2 linked regions of the Arabidopsis thaliana genome follow. Changing the gene in region 1 together with any one later gene gives a genetic interaction. Each region holds a gene or a part of one and is shown on either strand. Other genes may lie near its edges. The genes, in order: LHY and TIC.

Region 1 (7,195 bases):
GCCTCTGGTTATCTTTAGTTTCTTCACTCATCTGTCAAAATCAGAACGTTTCATCACTCATTGATATTGACTGAATCTAACATCATAACCCTAATTGGCAGAGAGAGAATCAATCGAATCAAGAGTATTAAATGGAAAAAGCGAATCAAGACCCCACAAGGGAAAACAATCCTTAAAGCAGACTTGAGATCGATCATACCCAAATTATGGATTCATATATTGTTAACGTATCGATTACTGAAAAGATGTATACCAAATCTGTTCACTTTTTCTCTATAGACTCGATGGATGATTGAGATTTGAAGCAACAAAATACCCAGAAGATTAAACATGGAAAAGCATCAAACTTTGATGATCTTAGAACGATGACAAAAGAAAAAAAAACGTACCTTTGGATCGAAACGAAACAGCCGATTGTTGTTTTCTTTATCGCAAGGATGATGAAGAAACTTTGGGAGAGAAACAAGTGAAGCCCGTTGGTCTAGCAAGTGATTGTAAAATGTATATATGAGTCACCACCGAGATATACGGATCAAACTTTTATATTATCGTAACACTCACTACACTACCACTCAATTATTTACAAAGATTTACATCTTTTTAAAAATACTTTATTTTTTATTACGAAACATAGTTTGTGTTTTTGCGGTCACTCCTATAATCTATGTAGGATACTTGCATTACATTTTTCACAAATAATTTGGTTTGGTAGCAAGGATATGGCTCATTCAGTGAGAACAAAAAAATTGTATATCTACTCATTCATCAGTAAACCAAATTAAGAGATTGAAATATTGTATAAACTAGCTACACAATATAAGCCTTCTTTAGGCCTCTATTACTTAAGCTTGTAATAGGGAAAATGTTGTAATGTAGGCCCAAGTAGTGTGAGTAAAATCTTTAAGGCCCAGCCTAGCACCTTTGGGCATTTGGCGTTGGGCAACGAGCGCCTTCAAGTTTGAAACAAACAGAGAGAATCATTATGAAGAAACACCAAAAGACAAAACTTTCTAAGTTGTAACTTTTGTACAGTTCATCTTTTATCATTATAAACTATTTATGATCTCATCAATCAATATCCACAATTTTTAAAAAGAAGAATAAAGACAAATCCATTGCTTAATGGTTAATTAACAGTAGTAGCAGATGACATATAGACCACAAGTAGCATACACAAACAGAGACAAGAGACAAGACATGGGGTAATATGGTACAGAACCTGACATGACCAAAGAAATGTTCGGAAGGAAAATTAAAAGTCTCTTTCATAAAGATTGGAGAAGCAAACTACTAACACTAGATTTAAAGATATTGATAAAAATGTGGATGTTTTTTTTTTACCTCCAAGTCTGTCATGTAGAAGCTTCTCCTTCCAATCGAAGCCTTTTGCAGACTTTTTCATCACTTTGATTGTTTATGTTCCCAACTTGGCTCTCTTTCACTTCCATTGAACATCTCTTGTATGGCTTAAATCCTGTCTGTCTCGTTTTAAGACTCTTGCATGTTCCAACACCGATCATTACTACTCCTTCTTGGTCTGCAGCACAAGAATCCTGGCTTTTGAAATTAGGAGCCAATGGCATTGACGTGTCACTTTGTTTTCTATTCACATTCTCTGCCACTTGAGGAGGCGAAAAGCTTTGAGGCAATCTTTCTCTTGCAAAGAGAGCCTGAAACGCTATACGACCCTGAAAATATTTTGATAGTGTTAGTTCCCAGAAGAACTCTGCAATATCCATGAATCATTGGTTTTTGTTTTACCTCTTCGGAGACTTCCTTCCACGAATCAGTAGTTGCATTGTTGTTGCTGTTGTTGTCTCTCATTTTAATCTTACGGTTATTTAACTCAATAACATCTGGCTGATTCTCATCTGTCTCCTTCACATCCTCTTTATCTTTCTCCATTTTATCTAATGCATCAGTTTCTGCGTCACTCCCTGAAGGTGTATTTGAGCCACAGGATGAGCGGTCCACAAGATTTTTCTTCTGGGCAGTGTTTGAGTCATGCACAGCGGCAGTAACAACAACCTCCTCAATTTTATCATCATTGGTTTTTGAGTCGGCATTTAGCTTGGTTACTCCAGTCTCATCTGAATCATCAGATGATGAAGCTGGAGATTTCGAAGCCAAGTTTTGATCTTGCAGAGCTGTGTTTTGTTTCTCAAACGGTTGAGTATTTTCAACGGTATCCATTTCAGTCATTGCTGGAGTTGGAACTGCAACAGTTGAGAATGGAACACATGTTATTGGAGCTGGAGCGCATACAGGAAGAAGTCCATGAGAAGCCCACCAAGCAGTTGCAGCAGCTACTGTAGCAGCGGCAATGGCAGTTATACTTGGAGGAGAAGAGCTCATTGGGGTTGATGAATCACCAGAATTCCCGACACTCGCATAAGGCCAGACCGAAGCAGCGAATGTAGCTGCAGCATGAGCTGCAGGATTCTGTAGGAGAGTTGACATAATAAGATTGGAGAAAGTAGATGATATCTGGAGAAACGAACGGTAATCATCCTGTGAATGACAAGCTGGAAACGCTTGATGAGAAGCTGTAGTAGTAGCAGATGCTGTTGTAGCTTGAAGATTTGCGTGCCCGTGAGTTTCTTCTCTCATAGGATGAAACATGAAGTCTTGAGATACCATACCTGAGGGATGATTTTGAGGGCATTTTGCTATATTCCCGTTCACAATATCTGCGTGGAAATGCCAAGGGTAGTTTTGCATGCTGTGCACAGTAGTACCATCGTTACCATCTTTGTCTTTGTTCTTCTTGGGAACATCTTGAACCGCGTTGTCCACAGTTGAGGTCTTACTTGTTTCAATGTCGCCACTTACCTGCTAAAAATCAGAATGGAACAAATAATTTGTCATGCACTTGAAAGCATTCATCAGATTCTTCGACTACAATTTTGTAGCTTTCTTAGACTTACTTTCGTTGGTAAGGGATACTTGTTCACAGTAGAAACACCCGAGCAATTCTCATCTTGATTTTCTTTTCCAGTTGATGTTTTCTAACCAGAAAATAAAACATAAGAAGTCTATCACAAGACCACCAAAATGATAAAATGAAGAAGAGAAAGATCAGGAATAAACCTCAGAGAACGGCATTTTTTCCAAATCCAAGAACGCCTGATTCAACTGTGAAGAAGAGGCCGATGAAACAAGTTTTGCATCTTTTGCTGATGATACTTGAGAGGAAGATGTACCGTTGTTCCCAGGCTTTCGAGGATAAGGAGTATTGGGTTTTCGTTTAGGACGAGGAGGCGGAATTTCTATGTCCAAAGCTTGGCAAACAGGGATGCCTTTAACTTCAGCCTCTTTCTCCAACTGAAATGTGAACCAAAAACTGTGAGCTTTTCCAAACTGGAGATGGAAAAATGCAGCTCAGATGTGAAATCCTGAGATTCATGAAATTGACCACATCACCAAGGTTGAAAAAAGTCTTATACTGACCCGAATTTTTCGGGGTAGAGATGATAGAGTTACTTCATGTCCTGTCCTATAGGGCAAGGAGGTTTGGTTTCCATATGGATGGCTAAAAGAATTCATGCAATCCCATTATTTCATCGACTTTAGTGAATATGGGACAATTGTGTCATCCAAATGCAACGCTAGTTATGTTAATTTGGACCTATCTTATGGTCTCAGAGAAGAAAGCTCTCTGTAGAGTTTTTTCTAACAGTAAGTTTGGACAGACCAATCTAATGTTAAGTTTAGTTGAACAGAGTAAATGAAAAAGATAAAAAACGATCGAGATGCAATCCTCGGAACCAACCAACTCTACTTAGCAAAACACACTCTACTTAGACGCCTAATTTCTAGTTGAAGCAATTAGAGAAAAGGAAGAATAAGAAGAACCTTCTATCATCTTTTCCAGACAGTGACAGGCAACTTCTAAACATAGTCATAGATCGATATGAAAAAATGGTACCTTTACACAAGATAACGAAAGTGTTTTAAAAAGATCTGAAAGGATCATCAACTTACCTTTGTGAAGAACTTTTGTGCATGACTTCTGATCTGAACAGCAGTCTTTGTCCCAATATGTTCTGCACACAAAATGAAAAGAAAAGAAGGAATCTCCCAATCAAGAGGAGATAAAGACACTCCTAAACAAAGGAATATAAAATCTCAAAGAGTTCAAACTAAACATTCAAAAGATAAACTTTCGACCTTCAATTCGTTGCCAAGCTCTTCCATAAAGCCTCAAGGCTTCTAGAAACCTCTCATGCTCATCCTCAGTCCATCGCTCTCGCTGCTTTGTTATTGTATATGGCTTTCTTGCCTAAACATTTGAAAACCCAAAAGAAAATCAAATCTTCACACAACAACAGTCCAAATCTCTCAAACAAAAAAACACCAATCTTATTTCATTAGTAGTAGTACCTTAGCTAATAATTCTTCTCCAGATGTATTAGTATCCATAACAGGACCGGTGCAGCTATTCGCTGCTTCAAATCCTCTCTAACAAGTAAAGTATAAAAAAGAAACCATCTTTGATCTCCCCAAACATGAAAGTTTTCAAATTGCAAAGCCGTTGTGATAACCTCTTTAGATTCTAGAGAAACTGCAAAGGAGAAAGTACTTTATGAGAAATATTTATCCACAAACACTAAGATAAGAGTGATGAGCGAAATTCAAAAGAGAAATCTTTTCAAAGTCCACCGTGAAACAGTCGCTGCTTCTCCAGCAGAACTCAAAAGAATTCCCTTTATTATTATTCACAAAAGCCTCACCCAAACGAATCCACCGCAGCCAAAACCTTCACAAATCTTCATATCAGTAATCAATCACCAGATTCGTATCATTTATGCTAACTTTTAGAGCTAATAAGATTTAGTTAATCGCTTCTATAAGTTTCTCAGCAGCCAAACAGAGATCTTAGTATGTTATAGGAATCCTAGAAACTGCTCATAATGTAAACTGTTATACCCTTGAGAGTAGCCATGGAGGAGACAAGTATGCAATCTGACTTATCATCTCACCGGGAACTCCCCGGAGAAGTCATCGTTCCCGGAAATAATCAAATCGGAAGCAAAACAAAAAAAAATCTCTAAAAATAAATTTAAAAAACAGAGAGAAGAAGGAAGAAGATAACTGAAGAAGAAGAAGAAGAAGAAGAAGAAGAAGAAGAAGGAAGACTGTTTTAGGCTGAAGAAGACTGGAAGAAGAAGAAGAGAAGCCAGAAGCAATCTCAGCCACAACAATTTTTCCCCTAATTTTTGGAAAAATTTTAATTGAAAAGTTTATTTGAGGCTGGAACAGCACCAAGGGTATAAATGGAAAAAACAGAAGTCATCGCAGATCGACACGTGGTGATATTGTAGTGGCTGTCTACTGCACTTTTTGGTATATCTCAAGTTGCTTCTCTACGAGCCAGAAGCTTCAATGTGAAGCTCACGTAGGTAAAAGTGAGTGTGGTGGTCCACAATTGCTTACGTGTAAACGATTATTGGTACAAACTTGGACGACTAAACAAGTGGGTACGGTGCCAGCTGTGATGGTGTACTGCTACGTATTGGCTATGCTGGATCTGGGCTTGTAATAAGACATTGTATGGGCCTCACTTTTACGCCTATTCTATATAAATTTGCGTATTAACATAGTTGAATTAAACCCGACAAGCTTGGACTGCTCGGGGAACTTGCGTCTGTATAAAAATCTTCATCTTTTCATATAATATCATGCAATGCCTATACAAAATTTCAACAAATTATCATCGAGAACTTTGGTCAACTTGCTTATATAACATTTGTAGAAATTAAGGAACATTAATTACTCTTAAGTCTTAACCGAAGCATGTAGTATTTATTTATGGAATTCAGCAAACATCATTACACTCATTTTTTTAGATTCCAGCTTACAACTGTGTTTTGCTTAAAGCAGAAGCGTTTAACATAGTTATAGATACTCTAATGTTGGAGCAGAGCTTAGTTGCAATATTTTTTGAAGTTGACGGCCTCATCGGTCAGGAAGCCACTACAAAAGGTTACCGAGAACTTTGGTTAGTTCGGTTCGGTTCTAGGTTAACCAAAAAACAATAGACCAGTTTTTGTTACTAACCGAAGAACTGAACTACCCGAATCTAATTGAAATAACCGAAATTATTCCAAAATAACCAAACAAACCGGATTTAAATATTTCACAAATCTCTACGTTGATGTTTGGAATTATAAAATTTTATCTCTCATTACCTCTCCTTAAACATTAACTAGGACATAACAGTTATTTGAAACATACATTAACAACAATATAATTAAATTAAACGGGCGACTTAGAGTCGTTATCCTTATTAGGAGTAGTATATTGAGCTTCGTTATCCATTCCTGAAGACAATGCAGTTGATGATTCCGTTTCTTTGTTCTTCCCCCACAAGAACATGTAGAGACCCGTTATGGTCACTAGTGATCCAATCACACTGTAGACCAAAAGTTTTAATGTTGTAATTAGTGTTATGCCTAGACAAAATTAATTTGATAGAGATTATCGAAGAAGATACCTTCCAAGGTATAAAGGAGTGTGTAAAATGAGGAAATCAAATAGAGTAGCCGAAATGAGAGTAAGTGGGAAAAACGCCGATGCGAACACAGCTCCTAATTTTTTAATCCCCCATGTTGTTGCAACCGTCGTCATTGCTTGTCCTACCACTCCCTATAATATATGATAAAAAAAAACCACATAAAAAAACCCACATTAATATCTTAAGTTCTTACATACTAATCTTATAATTTTTAAAAAGTTAATTTATAAAGATATGATGTTTGTAACTTACAGCGTATATGATGACGGTGATAACGAATCTATCATCTATGATCCAATCATTAACGTCTCTGCTCTTGTAAAGGCTCAAGAGAGCACATTGAAATGCCGCGAAAATTGACATAAGACAAGTGCTCGAGTATTTGCAAGGGTACTTAATACTTAAAGTCCCTTGAAACAACATCCATAGAGATAGCAACACTGTTCCTATGGTTAAATAAAGACATCCAAGAAGCCAATTATTGGCCTTGTCTTGATCGTTGTTGTTGTGGGAAGCCCCACCGTGAGAGTGAGAGTGAGAGTTTGATATTTGTGGGCCTTTGTAAAATGTTAAGAACAAAGCTCCACTTATACAGATCAAAGTTCCAATCACCTTCAACATTCCTGCTTTGGTCTTTAGAATCTTCACATTTTCAGTCCTAAAAAAAGTAAAATTTTA
Region 2 (8,138 bases), on another chromosome or scaffold:
CTGCTTCTTTCTTCATCAGACTCTTTTAAAGTCATTTCGTCTCGCCAGCACAAGCTATAACCGGAACTTCCCAACCATTCAGAGTCTTTTATGCTAAACAAAATAGTTTTAAAGATCTTTCACTCACCCGCCTGTTGCTTCTGATCCACGGGTTTGACCTGAACCGCAGAGGAAACAGCGTGAACATTAGTGAACCCTGGAGGCCCAAGCTGATGTTGTTGAGTTTTACCCATACCACCACCTCCTTTCATGTTATTCGCTGCAGATGCAGCCGCTATGGCTTTCGCTGGATCTGAAGTGGCGGTGACAGCTCCCGTGACTGGAACAGCAGGTGCTGAACCTGACTGTTGCTGGTGTCTTTGGATGTAATACCCACCAGAAGGAGATATGGTGATCTGTTGCTGTTGATGTTGATGTTGAGCTTGCATATAAGGATTAGAGAAGAATAGCTGTGCTTGCGGCTGCAGCCCATGCTTTGGCAACTGCTGCTGTTGTTGCGACTTGGATCCAGAGCTCGTGGTCGGGTTTCCGAGAACAGAAGGACCATTATTCCTTCCACCAGCAGATGACGCCGCAGATGCAGGCTGTAAGTTCTTGGACGGCTGAGATGCTGAGTGAGTAGTTGTGGAAGCTTGTCCACCTTTGTTTGCCGCCGAGGAAGCAGAAGCAGTTGTTCTTGGGCTTCCGCTGGCATTTTTGGAGACAGACGACGTCGAAGGCGACCCAACTAACATTGGTGGAGACGGAGCCTGGTGGTTGGTTCCTCCTTGTACCTGCTGCATTGGTGAACCAGAAGTCATTGGTTTTGAGTTTGCTGCAAAAGATATCTGCGATTGCTGGGGACGGCTTTGCTGTTTATGCGGGATGTTTCTTAGCGAAGATGCAGCAGCAACTGATGTTGATGGCGACAACATCGAAGGAGACTGAGCTTGGGTAGTATTTGTTGTCCTGGGTGAATTGTTTTTCCACTGCTGAGACTGAACCTGATTGCTACTCGACTGGACAAGGTTTTGAGGGAACCCTGAATTAGCATTTGCAAACTTGGTGGTTCCCGCAGGTGATGTGGTCATATTGTGATCAGGGAAACCACTCCCGTTACTCACCACGGGCCCTTTGGTTCTGGCAGCAGAAGCAGCCACTGAAGTTGCATACCGTTGCTGCTTCTGGAGGTACATGGTGGTATAAGGTTGCTGCGATTGACTCCGTTGCATATGCTGTTGCTGCTGTTGTTGTAGTAGTTGTTGATGATGAGACGTGGGTAAAGAACCCGAACTCTGTGGCAGAGCAGAACCAAGGTTGAGTAAACGGGATGAGCTATCAACGATGCTACCACTCGTGACAGCAGAAACAGATGCATCAGCTAAATCCTGTTTGTTAGAGAAAGCAATAGACTGCCCACCATTCCCACCACTCGTTTTCCCTATTGCCCCTCCTCCTGACTTCCTTTGTTCCTCAGGGGTATTATTAGCAGTAGCAGCACCACCAATAGACCCAGATTTTCCATCTTCTAGTGAAGCACCGTAGTTCATTTTTTGTTGAGCTGCTTGAGCAGCCATCATCTGATAACCTTGCCTTGCTGCTTCGGGCATGCTGTGGAACATAGCGTGATTCTGAGCAATTGATGACATGTTTAGGGTAGGAGCAGTGTTAGCCCCATTGAACGTCGCAAAAGTCATAGCATAACCCGGTGACTGGAAGGATTCTACACCAGCCTTTGAAACCTGCTGCTGTGATTTCTTTTCACCATGACTGCTCGAAGATCCAACCACCCCACCACCAGGGGCAGGGGAACTCATCAAACCCAAGTTAGTTGGTTGCATTTGCATACCATAGTTCTGGCCATAGGCAACATTGGAACGAGAACCCCGGCTATCAGCAGTTGATGGGCTATCTTCCCCTACAGTCTCACTATGTTGAGTAGCATTTTCTCTGGGTTGCTGCCTCTGCTGAAAATTCAAAGGCTGCGATTGCACTTTATGAGTTGGAAATCCTTGAGAGTTCCCATGATTAATCGGTGGCCTCAACTGTTGGTTCTGCAGATGCTTTTGAGCTGCTGAGGAACCAGTGGAAGCACTCCCATTCTGGTTGTTAGGAGCATGGCTCTGGAGCATTTGACCAGTTAGCTGCTGCTGATGCTGCTTTTGTGGCTGATGATGTGGAGGCTGGATCATTTGGGAGGAATAGAATGAACCATTAAAAAATGGCATCGGCTGCCCAGGAGCACCTCTATAAGCAGGTTGTGCACCAACATGTGCTGGAACTGGAAATGGATAGCCGTTATTCTGCAAAATGGCCAGGTACTGCGTTTCATTTCCCGGCATGGCAGGATAACTGAAGCTCATTGTTGGGGCACCAGCTGGAGTAGCTGATGCAGAACCATTCATGGAGGTAGAAGTAGCTGTTGGTCCAGAAGATGTGATGCCACTATTAGGAGGTCTGACAGATGCGGCAGCTATTGTAGCGGCAGCGTGAGGCTGTTGGCCCAAGGGGAATATGAATGTCGGACCATGCTACAATGAAAGTAAAAAAACAATCAGCTTATAAGAAGGACGACAAAACCTGATGAGAAACATGATACATGGACTAAAAAAACTAACCAAGATGCTATTAGCTGCTCCTGGAGGCAAAGCTTGTTGAAGCATTAATTGATTTCTTTGAGCTGTCTCTGAGCTTTTGGACGTAGATTGAGAATTCTTATCTTGAACAGGGTTGGAACTTCTTCCCAAAACACTCCCCTGAAGTTCTGTGGGAGGCATAAGACTGAGATTGCAGGCCTTGGTCCCATACATTGGAGCTGAGCCTGCTGCTGCAGGCCAGAAAGGATTCATCTTTGTGAATTGCTGATGAGATTGAATATTCCGAGCAATGTAGCAGTGTGTAGCACATCGCTTCGGCCTTGGTTGATTAAAAAGTAAATGAGGTGGAGGCTGCACAAGACCAAAATTTAAATCAGTAAAGGCAAAAAAATATAAAGAGAAATATTAGAATGGCACATCCAATCAAAATTACCTGCATTGCTGCAGCTGATAAGGAACTGGTATCCGTAGGCACAACTCCTTGTGTAGGTGCCATGTATCTGTTTAATCACAGAGTTTTACATTAGTACAACCAAAAAATAAAAAGGAGACTTAGGAAAAGTATCACATGCTTAAATTACAAAGAAAACATACCCCATTGTAGGAAGGCCCCCAGGCCAGCCAGGCATAGACATATGCAGAGGCAAATGGCTAGCTTGAGCTGGAATTTTTTAAAAAGAGGCCCAGTTAATTCAGTATACAAAAAACGAAACTAGTCCAGTCAGAGTAAGAAGAATGAATCTCAAGAAAGATGAAAAAGGCCTACCAGTTTTATCAGGAACAGATAGTTGCTGTTGCGGTGGCGGTTTCTGAACATGATGCTTGTTTACTAAACCCACATGATCAGATTTATCCAAGTCGAGTTTGAGTTCACAATTCCTCTCAAACTTATGGTGTTCAGCTTCAGCAACCATTCTAGGTCTCTTCTTCTCCTGAGAATCATGAATCGCCGGATCACTTCTATCTTCCTTAAGCAGAGGCTTTGCTTCCTGCTACATGCATTAGTGTGGACACAGGAGAGAATTAAAAAAAAGAGGGAGCCAAAAAGATGAAGATAAGAAAAAGAGAGCCAAAAAAAGCAAAAATGAAAAAGTAATGATGGATATCCCCAATTATCACAATATTACCAAACAAAAGTAGGCCCCACTCACCGTTTCCACTTCCGTGACTTTAGGTTTAGCTTCTGCCGCCACACATTCCATCATCTCTCCGCCTCTCTCCGACGACGATCTCACCGGCGGTGGCGCCTGAACCGACGGACAATTAATTTAGTACGGAACTTCAAAAAAAAAGGAAAATAAAATAAAATATATATGTTATTGACACTTACCATCAGATCTATCTCAAACTTCTCTTTTTCCGGCGAACTCCTGCATGATTAAAAACAAAAAACATTCAGTACCAAAACTTGGGTAAAAAATCCAGAAAAAATGAATGTATAGATTGAATGCTTACGATTTAGCTCCTTCACCATCGGATCTAAATCCTGAAGAAGATTCCACTTTCGGCAATATTGTTTCGTCTTTTGACAGATTGTTCTCTTTTTTCTCCGAATCTAACGAAGCGTTGCTTTCTCTCGTCAGTGGTATGATAGAATCCAATACGGAGCTGTTTCCTTCGCCGGATCCTGAGCTCTTTAGTTGATTACTGAACGGAACTTGACTTTTTGAAGGAGCTTCGGCTTCGGATTTGATTGTAGTGACGCGTGAACTGTTATCGTCTTCGTACTTGACATGTCTCGGCTTCTTTCTCTTAGGAGCTGAAGCGAAAATGGTAAAACAAAGTGAGCAAAAAAGAAAAAAAAAAACAAAAATAGTCGTTCCGATTTGTGAATGGAGAGAGGATGTTACCGATGGCTGAAACATTAGAGGAGCTAGAATTTGCAGCTAGTGTGATAGATGATTGAGGAAGAGTCTGAGGATTTGAGATCGGTGAAGAGACTCGAGATTTGACTTCTACAGTTGATTTCGCTGCCTCCGTCAAATCGTTACCGGCTGCTTCTTGTTTTGATGTGGAAGGCATCCTCATCATACCATACAACACTTCTGCAATCTCGATCTCGATCTCGTCTTGTACAGCCACTGGCGATGATAACTTACTCGATGATGACTTCGGCGGTAACGGCTTCTGTTTCGTCCCCGACGGCTAGAAGCAAAAATATATTAGTCAAAGAAGAAGATGGAGATGGAGAGATTTGAGTGTAAATTTTGAGAGACTAACCAATTTTTTCCTGACGGAAATGCTTGATGAAGAAGGAGACGTAGGAGCAGGAGGAGACGGAGATGCTAAAATCGAAGCCGGACTAACTCTATTAGCTGGAGACGTTGATGATATTTGCCGATGGATTTGTTCACCGGAAGCAAAAACACCACCTCCGGTAGTACTTGACGCCCATGATTCATGAGGTCTCTTCGTACACGCTGCAAAAATCGAAGAAGAGATTAGAAGAACTGTGAATCGAGATAGATCAGCGAGAGATATGTTTACAAATGTAAATTTCCACCTCTCTACCTGACCGAGCTTTTCTAGGAACCGAAACACCGATCATCTCGTCGGCGGCTTTCCACGTCGAGACAAGAGGTGATACCGGCGCCGGAGAAGGAGACGATCTGAAAACTTTCGTCGGCGGAAAATTATTCTTCCTCTGATGGTTATTGTTGTGGCTGTGATGGTGGTGATGGAGATTACCGCTACCTCCGTTGTGATGATTTGATAGAGACGATGAAAACGATGCAGCTGAGATATTATTGCTCGTCGGAGGAAGCATCTTCAACGAAGAAGGTGGTCCTACACCTCCGTCGTCATATTCTTCATCGTCGTTGACACTCTCTTCCGAGCTATCGTCGCCACCGTCGTCTAGATTACCGTGAACCATCATTAAGCGTTCTCCTCTCCGCCGTTTACTCCGGCTATTTAACCGATCTCTCTCCCTATCTCTTTCTCTTTCCCTCTCTCTGTCTCTATCACGTTCCCGATCTCGATCCTTCTTATTACTCCCTCCTCGATCTCTCAACCTCGCCGCCTCCGGTAACTCCACCGGACCTTCCTCCTCTGTGAAAAAAACGTTCAGAAAAATCAGAACCAAACGTTTTCTCTCAGATCTGATGAAAAACAAACCAAATCAAGAGATTCAAAAACAAACCTGGTGAATCTCTGAAACTTCCGGCTCTATGTCTCCGCCGGGAAAGACCATTTCCGGCAGCCGCCATAGGTACTCTTCTAGCTTCTCTATTTCTATCCATCTTCTTCTTCTTCTTCTCTAATGCTTCTCCTCTCTATTTCTCTTCTCCCAAATCGCAACCCCTTTTTCTCTCTCTTTATCAAACTCTCTCTCCTCTATCTCTCTACTTGCTTCCCATTATCTCCTTTATTTGTGCTCCTCATAAAAGCAGAGTAGCGAATAAATCCACGGCTCATATCTCCTGCCGTAAAACATTTTCTCAATCTTCACCGTCGGTGTGAATACATCCAACGGTCACGATACGCTATATACCAGCGTGACAAAATCTTGGCCCTCCGTTATAAGAGATCTCGCATATAATAATAAATAACCGATATTTCTTCTTTTATTAATTATTTTACCACCGATTATTATTTTATTATTAAATTAAAAAACGTATTCTTTAATTATTTTATTAGTCAGCATCCGTAGGTAGGACCCACTCAAAAATGATATCTTATTGTTATGATATTTTAGTATTTGATAACATTTAATTTTTCGGTTTTAAAAGAATATTATTTTCGGAGTCGGATTCATGTGAAAAAATTATTTTGGACTGTTACCAGTTATTAAACAGAAGCTGCCACGTGTCAAGAGTTTGACATCACACGCTTCCGTCTATATTATCGCTACCAATATTTTATTGACTTTGCACTGTCTAGAAATAAACAAACAAATAAAAAAACAATAAAATATATTGAAAGTCGGAAAGATTAAGATAATAATATTTAAATCTAAAAATAATCATCAATAGTATATTGTGCAATAAAAAGGCTCCTGGGGTAGTGTACTGTTGTCCACTAATCGCGATGACTCGTGTGAAAAGAAAACAAAAATACTGACATATACACGCACAAATATGATGTTATTTTAATTATTAAAATTCAAAATGTGTCTTGAGAAGATGTATCACCGGCTATTACCGGTAGACAGAGACCTTGGTAAAGGCAATCTACGATCAGAATGGAATCTTTGTGACCACCTATACAAACCGATCCAACCGGTAATATTAATCACATCAGGTTCCACTTCTCTACCTTCATCTTTTTTTTTTTTACTTTTCTCCATTAAGATCAAATGGCTAAATAGTTTTTTACTTGCCACTAACTATTTTTTTTTCTTCAACTCATGGAAAATAAATATTCAAATATTTACTTTCCTTCTTATTGATTTATTTGATATTTCTTACGTGCATGCAATAAAAGCTGTTAAATTAAATTTACCTTTTCAAATATGCCAGGTTTGCAAAATTGATCTTTTAAATTCTTAGAATCTAATAATTAAAAATGAAAATATATGGAGAATAATATTGGAAGTATCTACCACATTTTTAATTACTAATTTATCAACATTCTTAATTTATAATGAAAAAATCTAAAAGAGAAATTAAATCTTGATAATTCCTAGGTTAGATTAGTCAAATTGACATAACTATAAATTTCTATAAAACTAATTAAATCTGGTCATATTTGGATATTTCTAAAATAGTAATAAACCATATAATATCCTTTAGATTTTTTTAATTCTATTAGGGAAGGTAAGCTAAACAATAAACCTATAAAGTAAGGAAACAGGTCCTACCATAGTCTAAAATAATTTAACTCATTAATTACAAATCAACGGCCAATACCATTTGTTGCCAATTAGCTAAATGCTCTCACAACCGTTAGATCGTTTTATATTATATTAGTATTTTATTTTCTTCTATTTTTGGTTTTTAAACAATCTGACTTGGCAGAAGAAAACATCATCCAAAAAAAAAACATAAAATAAAATAAAAACTAAAAAAGGCGTTGAGTTGGCACCCGACCCGTTGATCTGAACCGTTCGATTTAGAAAAGATTAAACGGCTGAGATGGGAAGAGAGGGAAATGCATGTGGGACCTTATTCACTCAAGTCGCGGTCACGGAACTTCCGAGAAGTGTGGGGTCCACAGTTAGCTGCCAATGTGGAATTGCTCTTATCATCTTTTTTCTTTCTTTTCAATTATTACTTTTTTCACCGCTCTTTTTACATTATTTTTTATTTTTTTCACCTCTCTTTTCCCTTTTTTTTTTTTTCCTTTTGTGGAAATCATCTTTCACTGCTCTTATCTCTTTTTAATTACCCCCACTTATAAATTATTTTTCTTTTGAAAAGTATTTCTGAAGAAGTTGGTATGTTGCCAAAAAAAAATAAAAGTTGGCTTGTTTCGCTATTTTCCAAGGTTACTGATGGGTAAAAATTTGAATTGATATTTCTAAATATTAGGTATTTCTATTCACTTTTTAAAAAAAATTGTTTTCGAATTTTATTTTGGTTTCCATTTAATAATTTTAACATATTGAAAAGATAAAATTAC

Evidence for each region.
Region 2: of LHY (region 1) and TIC, changing one enhances a phenotype caused by changing the other (phenotypic enhancement), as found in Arabidopsis thaliana (one study listed by BioGRID).

The regions. Positions count from the first base shown.
Region 1 is NC_003070.9:32,640-39,834, forward strand, and holds LHY (Homeodomain-like superfamily protein), read right to left. Parts: upstream 5,119-7,195; 5' UTR 4,930-5,118; exon of another isoform or gene 4,760-4,929; 5' UTR 4,734-4,759; exon of another isoform or gene 4,565-4,733; 5' UTR 4,423-4,564; coding exon 4,384-4,422; intron 4,283-4,383; coding exon 4,171-4,282; intron 4,047-4,170; coding exon 3,985-4,046; intron 3,533-3,984; coding exon of another isoform or gene 3,451-3,532; intron 3,361-3,450; coding exon of another isoform or gene 3,325-3,360; coding exon 3,091-3,324; intron 3,009-3,090; coding exon 2,928-3,008; intron 2,836-2,927; coding exon 1,762-2,835; intron 1,689-1,761; coding exon 1,353-1,688; 3' UTR 1,342-1,352; exon of another isoform or gene 1,023-1,341; intron 951-1,022; 3' UTR 740-950; downstream 1-739. Other genes in the region: PPa1 (pyrophosphorylase 1), read right to left, coding at 1-31; UMAMIT28 (nodulin MtN21 /EamA-like transporter family protein), read right to left, coding at 6,259-6,415, 6,497-6,648, 6,770-7,175. UniProt on the Arabidopsis thaliana protein: Transcription factor involved in the circadian clock. Binds to the promoter region of APRR1/TOC1 and TCP21/CHE to repress their transcription. Represses both CCA1 and itself.
Region 2 is NC_003074.8:7,910,861-7,918,998, reverse strand, and holds the start of TIC (time for coffee), read right to left. Parts: upstream 6,095-8,138; 5' UTR 5,819-6,094; coding exon 5,719-5,818; intron 5,628-5,718; coding exon 5,088-5,627; intron 4,997-5,087; coding exon 4,797-4,996; intron 4,722-4,796; coding exon 4,427-4,721; intron 4,336-4,426; coding exon 4,032-4,335; intron 3,947-4,031; coding exon 3,907-3,946; intron 3,824-3,906; coding exon 3,728-3,823; intron 3,569-3,727; coding exon of another isoform or gene 3,566-3,568; coding exon 3,343-3,565; intron 3,238-3,342; coding exon 3,171-3,237; intron 3,077-3,170; coding exon 3,010-3,076; intron 2,928-3,009; coding exon 2,598-2,927; intron 2,511-2,597; coding exon 128-2,510; coding exon of another isoform or gene 120-127; exon of another isoform or gene 55-119; coding exon 32-54; 3' UTR 1-31. UniProt on the Arabidopsis thaliana protein: Regulator of normal clock function. Acts in the mid to late night. Contributes to the amplitude of circadian clocks. May act on the transcriptional induction of LATE ELONGATED HYPOCOTYL (LHY).